Callithrix jacchus: one gene and its partner. The protein of the gene in region 2 interacts with the protein of the main gene of each other region in a pairwise test. Links are inferred from orthologs where the notes say so. Each region holds a gene or a part of one and is shown on either strand. Other genes may lie near its edges.

Region 1 (5,633 bases), about 9.4 Mb from region 2:
ATGACAACATTCTAAATAAATACCTAATTCCCAAAATAAATAATTCATTTAAAGAGCTATATACAAAAATAAGAGAAGCAAGAGCTACAATGAAATGAACAGAAGCAATGATATGGTGCCTATGTGAAACACTAAATGTGGATATACAGAATATAGTATACAGGAGACTCAGAATGCACAAAGTAAGCCTAAATAATCCCAATGTATTCAATATCTATGAAACAAGGAATACAATTCCTATCAGCACTTGCTATAAAAATAGCCATAAGCTGGTTGCTTCTATTTTTTAAACGATGTAACAATGAGAGATTTGTTGTCACATATTTTGTAACTTACCAACACTGAGCTATTAAGTTCCTATTAGCTATATTTTAACAAAGGATTTGAGCTAGAAGACTGAAATCTGTTCATACAGCAGTGAAAACTAAGCCTCACTAAAGGCATTCAATATCCAGCTCAGGGCTCCTTTCCTTAATACATATTTGTGACTACAAATAGTGTTCACTACATGCAGTACACTGAACTAGCAACAGATTAGTTAAAAGCAGTTTAGATTTTCAACTTCCCATAATACCGGCAACATCTTTGGAAGCAATCACATTAAAACAAATGTCTTTCACAGTTACAGGATGAAATTTTAAGATGGACAAGTACCAATGCCCTGGTTTTCTACTTTTTTTATAAACCATATGACTCCCACATGCTGAAAATGTTTTATGCTTTAACCTGCAGTAAAGGCTTTACATCATTTTAATGCCCAGTGCTTAAAATGCAACAGAATTACCCACAACAAATGCTAGGAATATATTTGGCTTACATGTAATGATTGTGATCCTGCTGGTAGCCAGAAAAAAAGTTTAACGAATGCTTTTCCCAGTAAATAACTTTGCATTTCCATAGACAAAACAAAAGAAATTTTGAGGTAAGGATAGGTGGAATAGAAAACACTCATGTTTTTCCAATTCCAAATATTAACAAATATGTTGGTTTTTTATTTCTAAAATATTAAATATTTTTTTTTAATTTCGTGACTATTATAATGTTTCAGAAAAATAAAACAAAACACTCCGTTAAGTAGTTACATAGGATTTTTCTCCAGCTTTTGCAAAGTAATGTTTCAAGTTAAGATACAAGCTTAAAACAAATGATTCTGAAAATCCTGGTCTATCACAAACTAAAGGCTTAGTTTTGAATCAACATATGGTATATTCTACATCTGAGATTTAGAAACCATTTTTTTTCCTAGTCAGGTGAATTGAAATATACATGTTTCCCACTCTTACAGTCCCCCTTATCTGTGTGAATGACCAACAGCAAAACATTCAAATCAATGGTTATAAAATACACAGTCTATTTATGTGGTTTTCAGTTACCATAAAATCTAAAGATCCCTTACTAATGATAGGTGGCAGATTCAAGAATTGGTAAGTTTGGGGAATATATTCAATTCTTAACAGTCTAAATAGAAAATGATGCCAATTTCTTTATTTTAAAAATCTATTACACTAAAAAACCTGTCACATAAAAAGGGTTACTGAAGAACTTATAAGGAAGTACAAAATACGTGATCTTATATTCTGCTAGTATGTTATTAAAAACTGTGAGAAATAAGAGATGCGAGAATACTTTTTTTCACTCTAATTGAAATTTGAAAAAAATTTAGAATTCAAATTTCCCAACTTTGACTTAGAAACATAATTAAACTAGATCAAGCAACTTAGTTGTACAATTTTAAAGTAAGTTTTAATGCAAAGCACTGCAATCCTGATGTGATTAATTACCTGCGGCATAAATGCAAAATAACAAATGCATTTAATGATGCATTTTACGGTAAAACCACAAAAAGCACAACCACATTGGCAAACGAAATAAAAAGGCACAGGCGGTATTATGTTCATCAGAAAGAGAAACGTTGTACTAAGCCAAGAAAGAAAGGAAGGACTAAATGAAGGAAGAAAGGAAGGAAGGAAGGAGGGAGGGAGGGAGGGAAGGAAGGAAGGAGGGAGGGAGGGAGGGAAGGAAGGAAGGAAAGGGAAGGAAAAAATGAAGGAAGGAAGAGGGAAGCCTTCTACACCTGCAGGATCCCAGAGAAATGAACTAGTCATTTCATTCTATCCTATATGATACATGGGTGTTCTTGTTTTTCTTTTAAGCTTCAGCGTAAATAAAAACAGTAATGGCTTTATACCATTCAACTTTACATAGTGGTATCTTTAATGTCAACTGCATTCTTCCCTTCACTCACCCAATGCTTCTTCACTGTTCCATTCCACCAGCTTGCAGGCAAATGCATGACAGAACAGGGTGGAGTAGAAGAAAAATACAAGCAGCGCCTTTCAGCACACCCCCCCGCCCCGCAAATAATTTCCAACAGTTCTTCCTACTACAAAAATGAGTCGCCCTATCTCAAGATACACAACAGACATTCTGTTCCTTTAGTAGACAAACACAGACGCGTACACAACCCAGCACTCTCGACTCCCACCCCAGGCCCCCCGAATCTTCAACAATTATTCGTCTATTTCACACGAAGACAAGACACGTCTACCTACTGTTTCGGGGTGAAGGTGGGTGGAGGACGCCTTTCAAAGTAGCCCCAATAGTGTAACCAAAACACGGTTCCGGAATAAAATATTAAGAAACACTTTTCCTTTCCCACCTATCTACCGACTTGAGGATGCAAAAAATCCATCTCCACATCACACCATCGCTACAGTTCTCGTGGCTGGAGTTTGGGGTGGAGATTCGTCCAGGGAGGGGGCGGAGGCGGGTGGCGGAGTGTGAGCGGACGACGGGACACGAGCGAGTTGCTGAGCCCGGCTGCCCCGCACCACGTCGCCAGCCCAAACGCCCAGTACCAGGACCTCACGCCCGCCCCTTAGCCCAGGCCCAGAGCGAGCGAGTCCGCGCTGTCTAACTTCTCATCTACAGACACAGCTCTAAGACGAGGAGGGCACACAAGTACACGTCACACAGTTTAAAACACACTTACCCCAAACAAACCAACACACCTGCAAATCACCTCACAGTTTCCCGAACTCCACACCGGAGACCCCACCTCCAGGATTCAAACCTTCCGCTCATAGTGGAGGAAACCAGGAGGAAAGACTTGGGGGCAGTCGACGCCTTTCCAGGACCGGCCCCCACGAACTGCCCCACCCCACAGCCCGCGTCCGGGTCATCCACTCGGAAGCCCCCAGCTTCCTCCCTCCTCTCAATCCGGCCGCTTACGAGACCCATCCCCAGCGTCCGCTCACTTCCTCCCCAAAACCCCTTTAAAAAAAAAATTGTTTTAAGTGAAGAGAAAGAAGTGAAGAAAGAGACTTGAGGTAGTCCGGCTTCCAAACCGCTCGACTCACCTCAGAATCCTCGCTGAGTTCTCTCCGCCCGGCAAAGCCCCCTCCCCAACGTCCCAGTACGGAAGGCTGAGGTAGGGAGGAGGGAAAGCAGAAGGGGGAGGGGTGTCTTCCGCGTGGGGCGCCCGTCGGGAGGGGACTGGGGAGGGGTTGAGGCCGGCGCAGGAAGAGGAGAAGGGGGAGGGGAGGCCCCTATCTCCCAGTCTCCCCCTGAAAACCTTCCTTGTCTCAATCACATCAGACTGACTGTCTTTGTCTGGCTGACAACCGCCATATTGATATCAACAGCCCCGCTCCCACCTGCTGCCGCCGTGCGTTCCTGGGAGTTGTAGTTCCTGCCTCCCCTGAGTAAAACCCGGGAGCCTGGAGCCTAGAGGCCATAGAGAACTACAACTCCCGGCAAGTTCCGCGCTCATCCGCCTGCTCTTTGGGAGGAGAGGAAGGGGGGTCGGAGCCATCAGGACTACACATCCCAGAACACCATGGGCCCCAGGCCTGTACGGGGGACATGATATCATGCTGGGGTGGAGAGGGAGGATGCATTGGCGGCGGGGATGAATTTGAGCTGACGGAAGGAGGCGTTCGAGAGGAAGGAGAGAAAAAGGAAAGGCGACCACAGTTCCCATGATGCCTGGGAGAATACATTTCCCATGATTCCCCTGGAAAAGACGTGAGGATGAAAGACTGCAAGTCCCGCGATGCTCTCGGCGGGCAGGTGACGGAGATTGCACCGGAAGACGCTTCCGGGGTTTGAGGAGTTCGGTGACTGCTATTGAACCACCAAAAGTCCATTATGAAACTGGTGAGTCTTCGCTCCTAGGTTAGAGGACAAAGGTGATGCTATATCCTTTGGACCTCTTTTTTTCTACGTTGGGCAGGGAGCCGTCCCACAGGATGGGTGGCAATTAGGAAGCTGAAAAGTGGAGTGGGCTAAGGAAAGCTGCTTTTTGTTGTTGAGAAGGGTTGAATTCCCCCTCCCGTCCCCGCTATCTCCGCCAGGCGGTCTTTTTGCACTCATTGGTGGTTGCTTTTGTTCAGACAAGACGTTGGCTCTGTCACAGTGCTTTCCCGATGAACTCTGGGCTTGGTTAACCAGGTTTGGACTTCCTAGCTCCCACGTGTGTTGGCGTCCGGCACGTCTGCCGGGGGGCTACCGACCTGCGGGAGTCCCCGAGACCGCCAACGTAGATGTCTCGTTCAACCTGAGGGAGAGAGTGCGCGGAAGTGAAAGAAAAAAGAAAAGCGGAGTCTGGAGGGCTGGCTTAGGCTATGTCCAAGCAGCAATTTTATTTTTGCAATATGTTCCATTATATACTTTGTTGAAGTTAATGTTGTTTACGCCAGATCAACATACTTAAGTTACAGTAAGCAAGTTACGCCCAGTAAGTAAGTTAAGCCCAGTAAGTCAGTTACGCCCAGTAAGTTACGGTAAGTAAGTTACGCCCAGTAAGTACTTAACAATTGTAAATACTTAAGTTAAATCACAAGGTAAGTTACAGTTACGCCCAGTAAGTTATGGTAAGTTACCAAGTGTAAATACTTAAGTTAATATTTTACAATGAAGGTAACAAGGGTCCAAAATGAACACAATCAAGCAATAAACCATAAGGAGCCGAAAGTAGACACAGTGCCTCCCAAGTCCATATCCATAAAGTAATGTCTGTTAATTATTTTGAATAGCATAGTCCCTCTCTCGGTTCCTGCTTTCCCTCAGCTCGACTCCCCCAACCGGGGATCTGTGTCCGAGCTCAAGCTCACCCATTTCCTAGGGGCCTCACACGGGAGCAATCCCCACAGATCCCTCACACGTGAATGTTATAATAGGCTGTTAACAACCCCTTTCCACTCGATTGGCACCTGAGTAGCCTGTCTTCCCTACGTTGCTGAGACTTTGGCTGGATATAAGCAGAGAGTAAAAAACATTCGGCAGAACGTAATCACTTATTAAATATCCTGTTATATGGACTCCTAACTGCCCTTGAAATTCAGAAGGGACGAGGTCAGAGTGTGGAGAAGTTGAGTCTTTAACCCTGCATGAGATTTAGATGGGCAGAGAAGTGTTACCGTATTTTATTCTAAGGGTGCATGAGCCAAGGCTGGATGAAGCGTGTCTGTATAGCTGAAGTCTTAGCATCACACAGCTCAAGCACTTGGCTCGTGGGAAAGCTTCTTAGACCTTTGATTTTAGCCATTTGACTGATTGTGCGCACAGGTCTAACTAATTTATTCCAACTCTATTCAATTAGTAATAGAACAGAGTAGAAAAGCAGATGTGAA
Region 2 (5,633 bases):
TCCTGATAACACAGCTAACACTTCTTGTACCAGGCACCATCTTTGTTCTTTTGGGTTTTTTTGATAGTTTTTTTTTTTTTTTTTGAGATGGAGTTTCACTCTAGTTGCTCAGGCTGGAGTGCAATCACACTATCTTGGCTCACCGCAACCTTTGCCTCCTAGGTTCAAGCAATTCTCCTGCCTCAGCCTCCCAACTAGCTAGGACTACGGGCATACACCATCAATCCTGACTAATTTTGTATTTTTTAGTACAGATGGGGGTTTCTCCATGTTGGTCAAGTTGGTCTCGAACTCCTGACCTCAGGTGATCCACTTGCCTCGGCTTCCCAAAGTGCTGGGATTACAGACATGAGCCACTTCATCCTCACAATAACCCTTTGAGTCCTGTCCATCACTATGCCCATTTTACAGATTAGGAAGACAGAGCACAGGTCAGCAGCTGGTAAGTGTCAGCACTGGGCAGTTCAGCTCTAAGTCAGCTTCACTATAATCCGCAACACAGAGGCCTTTTTCGTGAGTTTATTTGTGTGCCCAGAATCAGAACAGCAGGATGTGGTGCTACGTATGAAATTTCTGAATGAAAGCCAGCAAATTCCTGCAGCCACAGAAATGCTGCACTGATGGTATTAGACACACGGCAGAAGCCTTCTCCTGGTCAATTGTAGCTAAGCTTAGGGGAGGCCAGGTATTGAACACACCCCAGCCAGGAAGGACAGCAAGGAACTGACTGTCACAGTAGCCCAGACGTGGACATTGTTCACCCATTTATTCGCCAGCCACTTAGTCCTCTCCATTTCCCTTTGCACTTAGTCATCCACTTCATCTCCACAATTTCCCCTTCCAAGCAAACACTAAGAACAGCGCAAACAGCACAGCCTCTCACCTGTGCAAGGAGGTTCACGGCACCTCTGTGATGAAATGCTCATGTTATTTCCATTTTATGTTGTGTTGGCTTTTATAGCAAATGTGGTTTTCTAACATTCAAGTTAACTAGTTCATCTTGAAGGAAAGACACTGGCTTCCTTGTGCCTCCAAGAATACTTGGGGGATCTAGCCGACAACTATCTGTGGTCAGGCTGTTGACGATGTGGTTATTCTGCAGCTGCTGAATGGTGCTGGTGTAAATTACCTCTCCCTCTCACCCCTAAATTCCCATCCCCTAACCCCCACCCCAAGCCTTTCTCAGACCCCAACTCAAGCTCAGCACAGTGCATCCAAGACACCCAGAGGGAATTCAGCCTCAATTCCCAGCTCTGCCTCTAATGAGCAGTGTGACTCTAGGCTGCCACCTCACCTTCTTGGGACTCAGTTTCCTCATCTGTGAAATGAGGGCCAGTTCAGTCTGTGACTCCTCATAATATGTGGTTTATGTGACATAATCTACTGTGAAGTGAAAGAGCCTGGTAGAGCCAGGGTAGAAGAAATAGAAATGAGGAAATTAACTAACCGGGTTTTCCCACTTTCACTCTCTGACAAGGACAAATAATCATTGCTGATACTGATTCAAATTCAAAGGACTTTCCCATAAAATATCAAGTGCAGCAAACCTCCAGTTTTTCAAGATCCAATAAAGGAAAAGCTAGCTAACACAAAACCATTCTTAAGAGAAAGATAAGCAACAAGCCCACACCTGCTATTTATTCTGAACACCAATTGCTAAAGGGTGAGAGAATCAGCTGTTTTCCACGCTACCATAGATTTGGCCTGATTCTCACACCTTCACAGTGTTAATACAACTGTCTTTTGGATAACTCTGATGCCTAAACAAATAAAAATTTTAAAAGGCCTAAGATACAGCCTAAATCATAAAAAGAGTAAGCCGGGCACAGTGGCTCCACCTGTAATCCCAACACTTCGGGAGGTGGAGGTGGGTGGATTGCTTGAGCTCAGGAGTTTGAGACCAGCTTGGGTAACATGGCAAAACCCTGTCTCTACACAAAATATAAAAATTAGCCAGGTGTGGTGGCCTGCACCTATAGTCCCAGCTACTTGGGAGACAGAAGTGGGAGGATTGCTTGAGCTGCAGAGTTTGAGGCTGCAGTGAGCTGAGATCATACACTGCACTGCAGCCTGGGTGACAGAACGAGACCCTGTCTCAAAAATATTAGGTCTGTGCAAAAATATTGCAGTTTTTATGGCAAAAAAAAAAGTTACTGTTTTTCTTGGCCATAAAAACTGCAATTTACAGCCGGGCACAGTGGCTCACGCCTGTAATCCCAACACTTTGGGAGACTGAGGCAGGCGGATCACAAAGTCTGGAATTCAAGACCAGCTGGCCCCATCTCTACTAAAAATACAAAAATTAGCCAGGCATGGTGGCACGTGCCTGTAATCCCAGCTACTTGGGAGGCTGAGGCAGGAGAATTGCTTGAACCTGGACCTGGGACGCGGAGGCTGCAGTGAGTCAAGATCACACCATTGCATTCCAGACTGAGCTAAAAAGCGCAAGTCTCCGTCTCAAAAACGAACAAACAAAAACAAAACAATAATGAAAAAACGCACTTTTGCACCGACCTAATAAAATAAAAAATAACAAAGTATTGTAGTACCGACAGTGTAACTATACATTAACAACACAGTCTGAATTCTAATTCCTTTAAAACAGCCAGCTCTGTGGTCCAACTTTACTTTCTTATTCAAACTTTATCTTATGCATCTACCAGCACAAGGGCTGTTTTTGGACCATGAAACAAATTACTAGAGATGACAGAAATTTGGCAAGTTTTGCAAGTATATACTATTCTTCAGAAATTTGAGTTTACTGTACACACAGATTTAGTATACCTAGAAAATTCCACTCATGCCAAATCTATGCCCCTGTATACTTTACACTTATTTATTCACTATTTAACAATAATGGTACCCAAGTCGTTGTTTCTATTAAAACAGCAATCAAACAAAAGCCTCTTTCAGCAATGAGGAGCACCTGTCTGAAAAGGGGAGGTTCCATGCTTGCTGCTTCTCTAAGCGTCCAGGGAAGCGAGAGACAACTCAGAAAATCTACAAACTGTGGCTCCTCCCGGGGCCCGCGTGACCCCCGAGTCCAGCAGTGGGCAGGGGCGCCCTTGGTTGAGCCCACTGGGCACCATGTCTAGGTCTGAGGCCCAGGGAGGCTGCGCTGCACGTGCCTCCGCGCGCGCCCCGACCCCACGTGGGGGCGCCCCTGGGTGCCGGCACGCAGGGAACGCGCTGCAGGGGTGCTGAGCCGGCTGCCACCGCTTCCCAGGACTTCCCTCTTGGAAGATCTCCGGGCGAAGGACGGGGCTGTGCTCCTGCTAGGAGTCTAGAAACTCCAGGCCAGCCCGGATCGTCTCCCGGCCTGCACTCCACGCGGGTGGAAGCACGAGCCGCGAGTCCTCGCCAGATCCCAGAACTTCCCCAAAAGTCTCCTGAGCCCGGGCTAGACCCTCCCCCTCGGAACTCACCCCGCTATCCCCTGCAAGTCCCCGGGCCCCGGGGACCGCCACTCACCCAGCCAGCGGCTCCAGACTCCAGACACCGGACACCGGACACCGGACACTCCGCGGCCGCGCTAGGCGCCCAGCCCCGCACCTGAGCCCGCCCCGCGCGCCGTGGAGGGGTGGAGGCGGGGTGAGTCTTCCGCCCGCCCGCTCTGGGCCGTGCACCTCCCAGGTACCCCTGCAAGCCCGGAGGAAATTCCCTTCCCCCAACTCCCACCCCATGCACTCTCTCCCCAAAGCCTCTCACCACCCCCAGCACCTACCAGTGCTGGGCGCGCCTGGGCTAGGTGGCCCGATCGCCCGCCACATCCACTTGATTGCCAGAAGCCGTCGGCAAAGGGAGGGAGGGAAAGGCCGAGCCGCCCCGAGCGACGCAGGCGGGCTGGGCAAACACTCAGGCCAAGACGCCAAACAGCTCCGGCAGCCGGCCCGCCCGCGCCGCCCTGCCGCGCCCACAGGCTAGGGTGACTGAGAGCGCGATCGCGGCCCCACCCGGGTGCCTGGAGGCTCTCCAGGGCCACTTGTCCGTGAGGCTGCGTGGCCTGCGCATCTTGGGCCGCTTGGCCCTCGCGCTGTCCTCCAACTGCGGTAGTCCTCTCCTCTCTTACTTCAGGAGACTGGGATCTGCAGTCTGTGACCTCTTGGAGACTGCGGGACATAGATTAAATCAGCAGGCCTGGCCCTTTCCCCGTTTCAGAGTTCTGAGTTCCTTGCGAGGTGGAGGGTAGGAGGGTGCCCTGGCCCCACTTGTTAACTGTGCTTGAGTGCTTCAGGCCAAGCCGGCTCTAGAGCTTACTTTTTTTTTCTTTTGTTGACATTAGGTAAATGATCAAACTCTCTGGCACTTGTGGTTCAGGTGCGGCTTTGTAGGGCAAGATGAAGGAGAAAGGCGGGAAAGGAGACCGCAGTCAACATAGGGGGAGAAAATGGAAGAAAACTGGAGGGAAAGTCAAGATGTTGATAGGAGCCTTGTGGATTGCAGCAAGAACAGAGGTTGGGTGGTGCCTGAAGACATCAGGGAGGAGCTGGCAGTCCACAGTTAGAGGAAATCTTGGAGGAAAATCCAGCAGAAGCAGAGTGGAAAGGCATTTCCACTGGAGGGCATTTTCCATCCTTGAGGAGCATGTGGAAGAACACCGTCTGTTTTGGGGAACCCCAGATTTCGTGTGTTGGGGACTTAGTGTCATGTAATAAACAGTAATCACCAGTTGTCCTCTCTACAGCCTACCTGACCTCTTCAGGAGCCTGACCTGCTGGGTTCAAACACAAAATGTCATTCCCCATCTCTCCCAACTGCAGAAGATATGGCTGAGTTACATCAAGCATCAGGGCAGGCAGCATTGTCAGTAAAGGACCCCCAGCTATGTGGGAACCATTCCAGGGAGCCCATTAGGGAGGAATTTCTGGTCTAAGGCTTAGTCCCGCTGCGGATTAAATGATAACCTATGGGGTGCTTTAGGCTGAAGTGGGATTGGCCCCTGGAAAGCTGCTATGGCCAGATCCAAATGAATCCTACCCCTGCATGGCTGGATCAGTTGAAGAACTATACAGGGTGGTTTATCATTTAGTAAAAATCCCACAGGACACTGTGACGGTCAGTTACCTTCCTCACATCCAGTCTCTCTTCAACTCCTGACCAGTCCTTTCTTATAATAGCTCTGGCACTGTGCTATTAATCTCTGTACCTCAGTTTCCTCCTCTGGATAAAGAGTGCCTGCCTCCTTACATTGTTAAGAGGGTTAAATGAGATACTGCATGCAAAGAGATGAGAACAGCTCTTGGCATGTGGTGAGTGTTCAAACACATTCACTCGGATCAGTTCATACCATGTTATGGTTCCCACCCTCTCACCCGAGGCTAGGGGCTCTGCCCATCAAGCTACCTAGACTCCAAGTCATTCCCAGGGATCCCATCCTCCTGGTATTCAAATACCCTGGAGTAGCTCCCGCCCATTTTGTAAGGGTTGGTCTGCTTGACCAACAGAACCTGGCTGAAGTGATGATAGTATGCCACTTCGGAGATTAAGTTAGGAAACACCTTGGAGCTCTTATCTTGAAAGAATGTTAATAGCCCAAAGGAATGCACACTGTACCCAAATAGCGCAATCCATGCAGAACCCAGCCTCTCTTCCCTCTTCTCTCATCTGCCCCTTTCCATCCCAATTGTCTTGTG

Evidence for each region. The genes of interacting proteins can lie anywhere in the genome.
Region 1: the proteins of SH2D4A (region 2) and HMBOX1 interact in binary tests that used the Homo sapiens proteins (3 or more experiments, as listed by UniProt). The two-hybrid records come from large-scale screens. The link is inferred for Callithrix jacchus from reciprocal best matches to the Homo sapiens genes SH2D4A and HMBOX1.

Annotation. Positions count from the first base shown.
Region 1 is NC_133514.1:12,805,226-12,810,858, forward strand, and holds the start of HMBOX1 (homeobox-containing protein 1), read right to left. Parts: upstream 3,643-5,633; 5' UTR 3,360-3,642; exon of another isoform or gene 3,012-3,359; intron 2,588-3,011; exon of another isoform or gene 2,553-2,587; intron 1-2,552. Other genes in the region: INTS9 (integrator complex subunit 9), read left to right, coding at 4,150-4,158. UniProt on the Homo sapiens protein: Binds directly to 5'-TTAGGG-3' repeats in telomeric DNA. Associates with the telomerase complex at sites of active telomere processing and positively regulates telomere elongation.
Region 2 is NC_133514.1:22,192,785-22,198,417, forward strand, and holds the start of SH2D4A (SH2 domain-containing protein 4A), read right to left. Parts: upstream 3,868-5,633; 5' UTR 3,725-3,867; intron 3,566-3,724; exon of another isoform or gene 3,472-3,565; intron 1-3,471. UniProt on the Homo sapiens protein: Inhibits estrogen-induced cell proliferation by competing with PLCG for binding to ESR1, blocking the effect of estrogen on PLCG and repressing estrogen-induced proliferation. May play a role in T-cell development and function.